Danio rerio: one gene and its partner. The protein of the gene in region 2 interacts with the protein of the main gene of each other region in a pairwise test. Links are inferred from orthologs where the notes say so. Each region holds a gene or a part of one and is shown on either strand. Other genes may lie near its edges. The genes, in order: atrip and cinp.

What was found.
Region 1: the proteins of cinp (region 2) and atrip interact in binary tests that used the Homo sapiens proteins (3 or more experiments, as listed by UniProt). The link is inferred for Danio rerio from reciprocal best matches to the Homo sapiens genes CINP and ATRIP.

What each region holds. Positions count from the first base shown.
Region 1 is NC_133197.1:10,190,878-10,195,347, reverse strand, and holds the start of atrip (ATR-interacting protein), read right to left. Parts: upstream 3,126-4,470; 5' UTR 2,929-3,125; intron 1,283-2,928; exon of another isoform or gene 1,280-1,282; 5' UTR 1,268-1,279; coding exon 967-1,267; intron 562-966; coding exon of another isoform or gene 496-561; intron 1-495. UniProt on the Homo sapiens protein: Required for checkpoint signaling after DNA damage. Required for ATR expression, possibly by stabilizing the protein.
Region 2 is NC_133192.1:33,201,760-33,206,088, reverse strand, and holds the start of cinp (cyclin-dependent kinase 2-interacting protein), read right to left. Parts: upstream 3,018-4,329; 5' UTR 2,979-3,017; intron 1-2,978. UniProt on the Homo sapiens protein: Component of the DNA replication complex, which interacts with two kinases, CDK2 and CDC7, thereby providing a functional and physical link between CDK2 and CDC7 during firing of the origins of replication.

The DNA of each region.
Region 1 (4,470 bases), on a different chromosome or scaffold from region 2:
ACATCGACGTTGTAATGCAATTAACATACATTCAGTTAAACAGACTCAAGCATTTATTTATGCCAGGTTCAGACTGCATGATTTTTAAAGTAGTTTAAATGATGATTATCTGGGCTAGAGTTGTTTTTCTTACATTTCTTGGGTCAAAATAGACTGAAAAGTAGCCTTTTTGATTTCTCCCCATTCCTGATGGCCTGTAGATGCTCATACTAGTAGATTCTGCTCTCTCATTGGCATAATTTTGAATTGCCGACAGCTCCATGACAAATATCTCATGGGTGTCAATGACTCATCTGCGATTCTCTCAGACTGTGTCTCTGATAGTTCACACTGTGATTGTTACTCACGTGAACGAACATCGATTTGCCTGTGATTTCAGGCATTTGTCTGCGATTTCTCAAAACCTGCCAGCGAGTCAAAATCGAGGCTAAAATCTTGCAGTCTGAACTCGGCATGAGTTGTTTAAGTGTAAAACAAGATGAAAGACTGTGTAACCTCTAGCGCTGTCAGGGTCAGCAGGTGAGTGCAGAAACTCCATTGAAACTTCTGGGGTTGAATAAACTGTTATATTTTAAAGACATGGCGAGAGGAAATGTAATTTAATGCTGAGCTTCTTGTCCAGTCTGACCCAGACCTTAAACATGGCAATTTTATAACGGAAAGACAATTCACTGGAAGTGCTGAGGCTGGCTGGCTGGCTGAAATGTAAATTCTGTGTGTGTATATATATATATATATATATATATATATATATATATATATATATATATATATATATATATATATATATATATATATATATATATAATAGCCCACTAACAAGACACAAAACAACAAACAAATATGTTAAATTGCTTCTTTAAACTGTCTCTAATTTTGTTTTTTAAATTAACAACAACAACTGCAAAAACCCAATGGGACATATAAAAACTTGTGTACAGTGCAACAGAAACATCCAGTACTGACCAGAAGGCTCTTTCCTTTGAGCGTGTGTGTTGTTGTAAGTGCTGCTGCTGCAGGCATCTCCAAGGGCGAATGTTTTCCGCCCGGACCTCACTGGAGCTTTGCTCGGTTCATCAGCGCAAGCGAGCACAGCGTCGAAAGATCTCTTAGAGCCGCTGTTCTGGACGTCTGCGCTGATGGCCTGAGACGCAATAATATCAATCTGCTCCAGATCATCCTGGGTGAAATCAATGTCATCGTCAAACGGGTCGGGTCCAGTCTTCACCTGAGGGCCCTTCAGTCTCTTGCTCGGGGGAAAGTCCATGTCAACGAGCTCCTGCTGGGAAATCAATAAAACCTTGTTAATGTTCAGCAAATAATTAGTGTAGTAAAGAAAATGTTTATGCCCCTTTTCACAAGATGATAGGTCTCTGACACCCCTAGAGCAGGAATGCCTAAACTCTGGTCCAGTGTCCTGCAGAGTTTAGTTCTATCCCCAATTAGACACACTTAAACCAGCTAATCAAGCTCTTTATACGTATACTGGAAACTTCCAAGCAGGTGTGTTGAAGGAAGTGTGAGCTAAACTATGCAGGTCACCGGCCCTCCAGGACCGGGTTTGGGCACCCCTGACCTAGAGCGTGTTAAATTTCAGCTCAAAATACCCCACTAATAATTCTTTTAAACTGCCCTTTTTAGACTTCGATCCAAATTGTGATATTTTGTTGACTGTTGCTTTAAATTCAAGTGAGATAGCCTTCTTTTCAATTGTGGGCAGAGCTGCAAATGCCTATGGTCATCTACGGTTTTCATTTGTGCATCCTAAAACACCACGTCTATATTACATCTATTGGCAGGTGACTGCTTATGACTCAGGACTGTCTTTGCAAATGAGGGACAGATCGTCACTAATGGAATGTCATTAAATTTGGAAAAATTTGGATAAATATGTCTTAAAGTGATTAAAACTTTAGTAAATTCACCTGTTTTATAATAAATAGTACTGCATAAGCTGTACAATGTTTGTTTATACATGACCACCACTATAAATGTACAGTTGAAGTCAGAATTATTAAACCCCCTGAATTATTAGCCCCTCTGTTTATTTTTGTTTAATGGAAGATTTTTCTTTAACACATTTCTTAACATAATAGTTTTAATAACTGATTTCTAACAGCTGATTCATTTTATCTTTGCCATGATGACAGCACATAATATTTTACTAGATATTTTTCAAGACACTTCTATACAGCTTAAAGTGACATTTAAAGGCTTAACTAGGTTAATCAGGCAGGTTAGGGTAATTAGGCAAGTTATTGTATAATGATGGTTTGTTCTGTAAACTATCGAAAAAATATATACCTTAAGGGGGCTAATAATTTTGATCTTAAATGTTTTTAAAAAATTAAAAACTGCTTTTATTCTAGCCTCATAACATCCAGGGTAACATGTCTATATGTATTACAATATAAATAAATGTTTAAACACACATTTCTATATTTATTAAAAACCTATCCATCTAATTATTTCAATTAAATAGACAAGCTTTTTGATTTAAACTGTAAATGTAACAATTAAAACAGTTCCAGGACAACGAATTCATTAATAATCTGCAAAAAATTATAGCAGAAAATAAATAATTTAGAAAAAAACATTAGACACATTATCTAACACTAGTTTTCGCAGTATAAATGTATTTTGCAACTACAAATATGTAGTTTACATTTTGGGTTTGGATGTCCGTGACATATAAAAGACTGCAAAACCCTGACATACAGTACGGTTCGTGCCAGTTCATTAATATCAAGCAGTTAGCATGTGACAATTTTAATACGATAACACTCACTTACTGGTCAAAAATCCAGTTATTTTTCAGCCTATAAAGTGTACATTACTACCGGACTAACAAACTAACACACAATGCTCTTCCAGACTCCAATTTTAACATGGTAAAGGTGTAGTAAAGTGCTCAAGTTTATCAGTCACCTGCTTGATTTACGCTCCTCAGATTCCTGCATAACCTGCAACTGCCCGTCAAATCACCGACATGACAAACCAAAAGTAAACACTCCAGATAAAGTGCAATTCTGAAATGTTTACATAAAAGTAGTTGACCAAACAAACAAATAACCGAAAAGAGGAAAAGTTGGAGGCATTTCTGAAGGTTCGGTATTCATTCAAGCGAGGAGGAGTGTCCATGCGGCCAGACGAAAGCGTACGCGGTAGTAAAACATCACCTGATTGGCTAAACCACTGCCATAGTGTGTAGCGGTGAGCTCTGATTCGTCAAAGGAGTAGCGCACGTATTACGGAGACACTCTTGCGACAAAATGCGTTTTGAACCATTCATTTTGATTCAGAAAACTTGCACAAAGCCGTGATTTGGAAGTTGTCTAAACATGTTCAACAAGATGTGTTTATAAAAGTTTGGGCTTGTTAAACGTTTTCTTCACCATTTAGCTTATACATACTCGTACCTGTAGTAAACATATCGCAAGGCTTCAAGATTGTATTATTTTAGTTTAAATGGAAAAATATGAGTTCACAACAAAACACTGACGCAGAGTAGTATGAGTAAGATTAAAAATATATTTACAAGGTGCACACACAAAATAAATAGTGTTTAGTGATATTTTTGATACATTTTAAGCAAAATCATCACTAAAAATCAGCAGGTACATTTTTATGTGATTACACCATATACGACAAAACTTTTGCAGTTATTATGAGCTAAGTTAGCATGCAGGTTATAACCAATTGTAATAATTGCGCTAAATAGCTGCGAAAGGCTTTATTTTTAACAAAAGATGTAAAAATGATATAGTTAGACTTCATAACATTGTTAGGCTACAGAAATAAACTAATAAAAGGTGAAATCTGTTTGCTGCTTTAAAGATTTGTCTACAGCTATTGTGTCAGATTTAGCATCTTCGCTATGAACAACATACTTTTTTATCTCACACAATGTGTGCATGTAACTACGGAGTGTTTTTGTTGCTGCTGTTTTAAGTTGGAACTATTATTATTTCAACTATTACGATTTATTGACGAGAACAAATGATTGTGTACATTTTTATGTGATCACAACAAGCAGATCTTTTTTATACGACAAAACCTTTGCAGTTAACAAATATGAGCTAAGTTAGCATGTTACAAACTGTAATAAGTGTGCTAAATATAGCTGCCTTACCTTAATTTATATAGACATAAAAAATATTTATAGGCTACAGTGTGCTAAGGTAAACAATACTATCTGCAGCTTTGTTCAGTAGTGTGTCTACAGATATTTAGCATCTTTGCTAATGTATCTATGAAAACATACTTTTTTATCTCGCACAATTCGTGCATGTTGTACGAGCATGTTGCATGTCGAGTGTTTTTGTTGTTGTTTTATTTAGGTTTTTTAAAGTAATTATTACAACATGCCCACAGTTTAGTAGAGATCACTTGAAACAAATGAGTAAAACGTGCAGATATATTAGTAAATTGTGGGAATGAATGAGTCCACTTGTGGCCATAATATGCATA
Region 2 (4,329 bases):
AAGTGCTATTGGTCTATAATTACTTGGATTTGTAGCGTCCTTTCCTGGTTTTCTAATAGGAATAATAATAGCCTCTTTCCAGCTCATAGGAATTTTTCCTTCCTCCCATACCTTATTATACAATCCTAGCAACTTACTCATAGCTAATACATCTAAATGTTTTACCATCTCATAGCATATATTATCTTTACCTGGTGCTGTTGCCTGAAATGTTTCTAATGCCCTCTTCAGTTCTCCTAAAGTAAACGGAGCATCCATTGAACTATCTGTTTTCTCTTTTTTATCACTTATGCCTGGATATTTAGCTTTTGTTCTTTCTCTACTTCTCAGTCCCTTTTCTGTCAAATTATTTGAACTATATACTTTAACAATTTCTTTTGCAATCATTTCTGCTTTTCCTTCTTCTGTACTCGCTAATTCCTCCCCTGCTTTTAACACTGGATATTGCCATTGTTTTTTAATTCCTCGCATACTCTTTATCATACCCCACACTTCTCCAATCGGAACTGTTCTTCCTATTTTACTACAATAATCTCTCCAACTTTGCTTCTTTGCCTCCTTAATAGTCTTTTTCACTAAAGCTTGTGCTTTTTTATACTTTATTAAATTTTGAATATTGTGCGTTTTTCTTAAAATCTTGAACATTTTATTTCTCTCCCTAACAGCCTTATTACAACCATCTGTCCACCATGGAACTGCTCTCTTCTTCATTTTACTTTTATTTTTAGGTATTGTTTGCTCAGCAACTGTTGTTATAACTTCTCTGATCTTTCTATCTATTTCTTCTATTTCATCATTTAAATCAATTTCTTCGCTTCTCACACTACATAAATACATAAATTTATCCCATTGTGCTTTACTGAATATCCATTTCTCTATTCTTCCTCTTTGCTCTTCCTCCCCTTTCCATGCTAACTTACTAATCACTGGAAAATGATCACTACCTAATGTTGATTCTTCCCATACTTCCCAATTACATATATCTCCTAAATTCTTTGATACAATAGTTAAATCTAATGCTGATAGTTTTCCTCTATATAGATCTAATCTAGTTCCGCTACCATCATTTATACAAACCAAATTCATTTCTTCTAATAGTTCCTCTAATATTTCTCCGTTTTCATCAAGCTTTTCCCCTCCCCATAGTGTGCTATGTGCATTAAAATCACCACAAATAATTACATTCCGATTGTTAATTTCTTTAATTTGTCTCAACTTACTTATATCCATTTTCTTACAAGGGTTATAATAATTTATTACTATTAGCTCTACTCCTTTAATCCATACTGCTATCACAATATATTCCTGATCTTTTCCTTTTTCCACTTCTCTGAAAGATAAATTTTCTTTAATAAATGTTACACAACCGCCTCCTATTTCTTCTTTCCTATCATGTCTTACATCTATATATCCTGTAATCCTAAAATCCAAGTGTATTTTTAACCATGTTTCTTGAATACATATAATTTCAGGTTTATTTGATAAATCCTCAATAAATTTTTTAAATTCCTGTCCATTTGCCAAAAGACTTCTAGCATTCCATTGTAGTATAGTAGGCATAATATTTTATGTATTCTCTAAGTTATATCTTGGCTTGTTTTTGCATTCAGATCATTTCTCACTTCCTCCCATGTTATCCCACTTACACCCAGATGATGGACAGCAGCCTTCACTATGACCTGAATTCTTTCTGTTTTTGACTTGATTTCCATCGTTGCATTTATTACTCCTGCAATAAATGTTACCAATTTTTTAACTTCTATCAATATTTTCTCATCACCCACTTCCTCCTGCATTTCCACATTTTGTCTGACTAGAACTGGATTTTCCTCAGTTCTCTCTCTTTGTTTTATTCTCCTAACTGCTTCTGCATATGTTATTTTATTTTGAGTTTTTATTTGTTGAATTTCCCTCTCTTTCTTCATTACTACACACCCTCCATATGCCACACTATGATTTTCCCCACAACTGCAACATTTTGGCTGTGTGTTTTGATTACATTCTTCATATCCATGATTCCCCCCACACCTTGCACATCTTTTCTTCCCTTTGCATATTTTCGCCACATGCCCAAATCTTTGGCAGTTATAGCACCTCACTGGTCTAGGTATGTATTCTCTCACTCTGTAGCTCAGATATCCTAGTGTCACTTTTGATGGTAAAACTTCATCATCAAAAAAAATCAGAATTCCTTCACTATCACTCCTTGTACCATCTCTCACTGTTTGCATTCGCCTGACTTCTTTGATCTTTCCCCCTCGCAAATTTGATTTTAGATCCTCTATATTTACTCCAACTGGCACTCCCCAGATTACTCCTTTACTCAGTTTATTTCCTACTCCGATTTTGCTCATATTTGACACTTTGTATTTGCCTATTTCCTTGATTTTCATGGCTCTTTCTCTTTGTTCCTCACTTTTGCACACAATTAGTAGATTTCCATCCCTCAGTACCTTAGCCATTATAATTTCTCCTACTTGATTCTTCAATATTGTAGTTAGTTTAATTGGATTCATTGTTAATAATCCGTTGTCTTCCCCAAATCTAAGTATAATCTTATACGCTTCTACTTCCTGTTCTATTTCCGTCCTTCTATTACTTAACTCATTAGTGTTCTTAGCTTTTTTCGCCTTGCTACCATCAAATTCACCTCCCCTCTTACCTGTCATTCTTACTGATTCTTGATTCATTTCCATACTATCATCGCTATCTTCTATTTCACATTCTCCCCACTCAGGCTCATTCACAGTACAGCTGTGCCTTCCTGCCATTCTTCTCTGTATTTCTCCAGATTTCCCAGACTTAGTCCACATATTTCGACATCTATGTCCAGTACCTCCACTTTTCTTTCTGTTGTTTCCATCCAGCAATTCCAATTTCTTTAAACGTTGTATTGTTTGTATAGTTTTCACCATTCAAAACTCAGCGTCCTCGCTCACGCCCGGCGCCCTCAGGAGCTCGTCAGTATGCCGATCAACATCCCCAAGACTCGCGTGTTTGTTTTCCACTCTTGCTCTGCTTCTGCCGTGTCATGCTATGACATTTTCACAGCCAGTTATCGCCATCTGCTGGTTCAGATAACTCATTACATAACTGGCTAAATGTGCGAGAACTGAAGAGGCATGTGCTCTCAGGGTCCATGGATTTGCGATTTCAATAATTTATAATTTATTTGTCTTACTAGTACACCCGCCACATGTAAAAACAACAACATATGCCAAAGTTATATGGTGGTTCATTCTGCTGTGGTGGCCTGTGATATTTCAGGGACTACGTCAAAGGCAAATGAGTGAAGTTTTGGTTTGCTATTTTTTTTTTTTGTTGGGCGTGTAACTTTGTCACACAGAAGCTCTAATATTCTATAAAAATGACTGCATCTTCCTGATGAAAATCACTTTAATTCAACAGTCCTTTTCGCAGTCTCCTGCACTGTTCCCTTTTTAAAATTAAAACATTTATTAAGGCACTGTATTTATTAGTTTTTCCTGTCGCCTAATTTGGTACATTTCTCGAATTAAGTCTCAGAAATAACTGTTTCGATGAACCTAATATTAGAACGTTAAGTCAATTGTGTATGCATACGACAACAAGTTTGGGGACTTGTATTGAGGAGGGGGGCTCTCTGCATGTTAATGTTCATTCAACTTTTTCAATTCAAGTTTATCTGTATAGCAGTTTTTACTATCAGTACTGTTCTTAAGCTGCTTTACAAAAGGTGCACATTATCGCATTACAATCAGATCTAGTTAAAGTTTCAATCAAATTATTCAGACATGGTTAACCTGCAATTTAATTGCATATATAGGTGATGTCTATGTGTACACGTTTGATAAAGTGTATTTGTTTATTAAGTGTATGTGTTGTCTTGGAAGTCCTCGATAGCTGGGATCCACTTCATACAGTGCATCCGGAAAGTATTCATAGCGCTTCACCTTTTCCACATGTTTTTATGTGACAGTCTTATTCAAAAATGGATAAAATTCATTTATTTCCTCAACATTCCACACACAATACCCCATAATGACAATTTGAAAAATGATTTTTTGAAATTGTTGCAAATTTATTAAAAATAAAAAACCTGAAAAATCACATGCACATCAGTATTCACAGCTCAATAGTTTGTTGATGCACCTTTGGCAGAAATTACAGCCTCAAGTCTTTTTGAATACGATGCTACGAGCTTGGCACACCTGTCTTTGGGAATTTTTGCCCACTCCTCTTTGCAGTACCTCTCAAGCTCTATCAGGTTGGATGGAAAGCAGCGGTGTACAGCCATTTTCAGAGATGTTCAATAGGATTTAGGGCTGGGCTCTGGCTGGGCCACTCAAG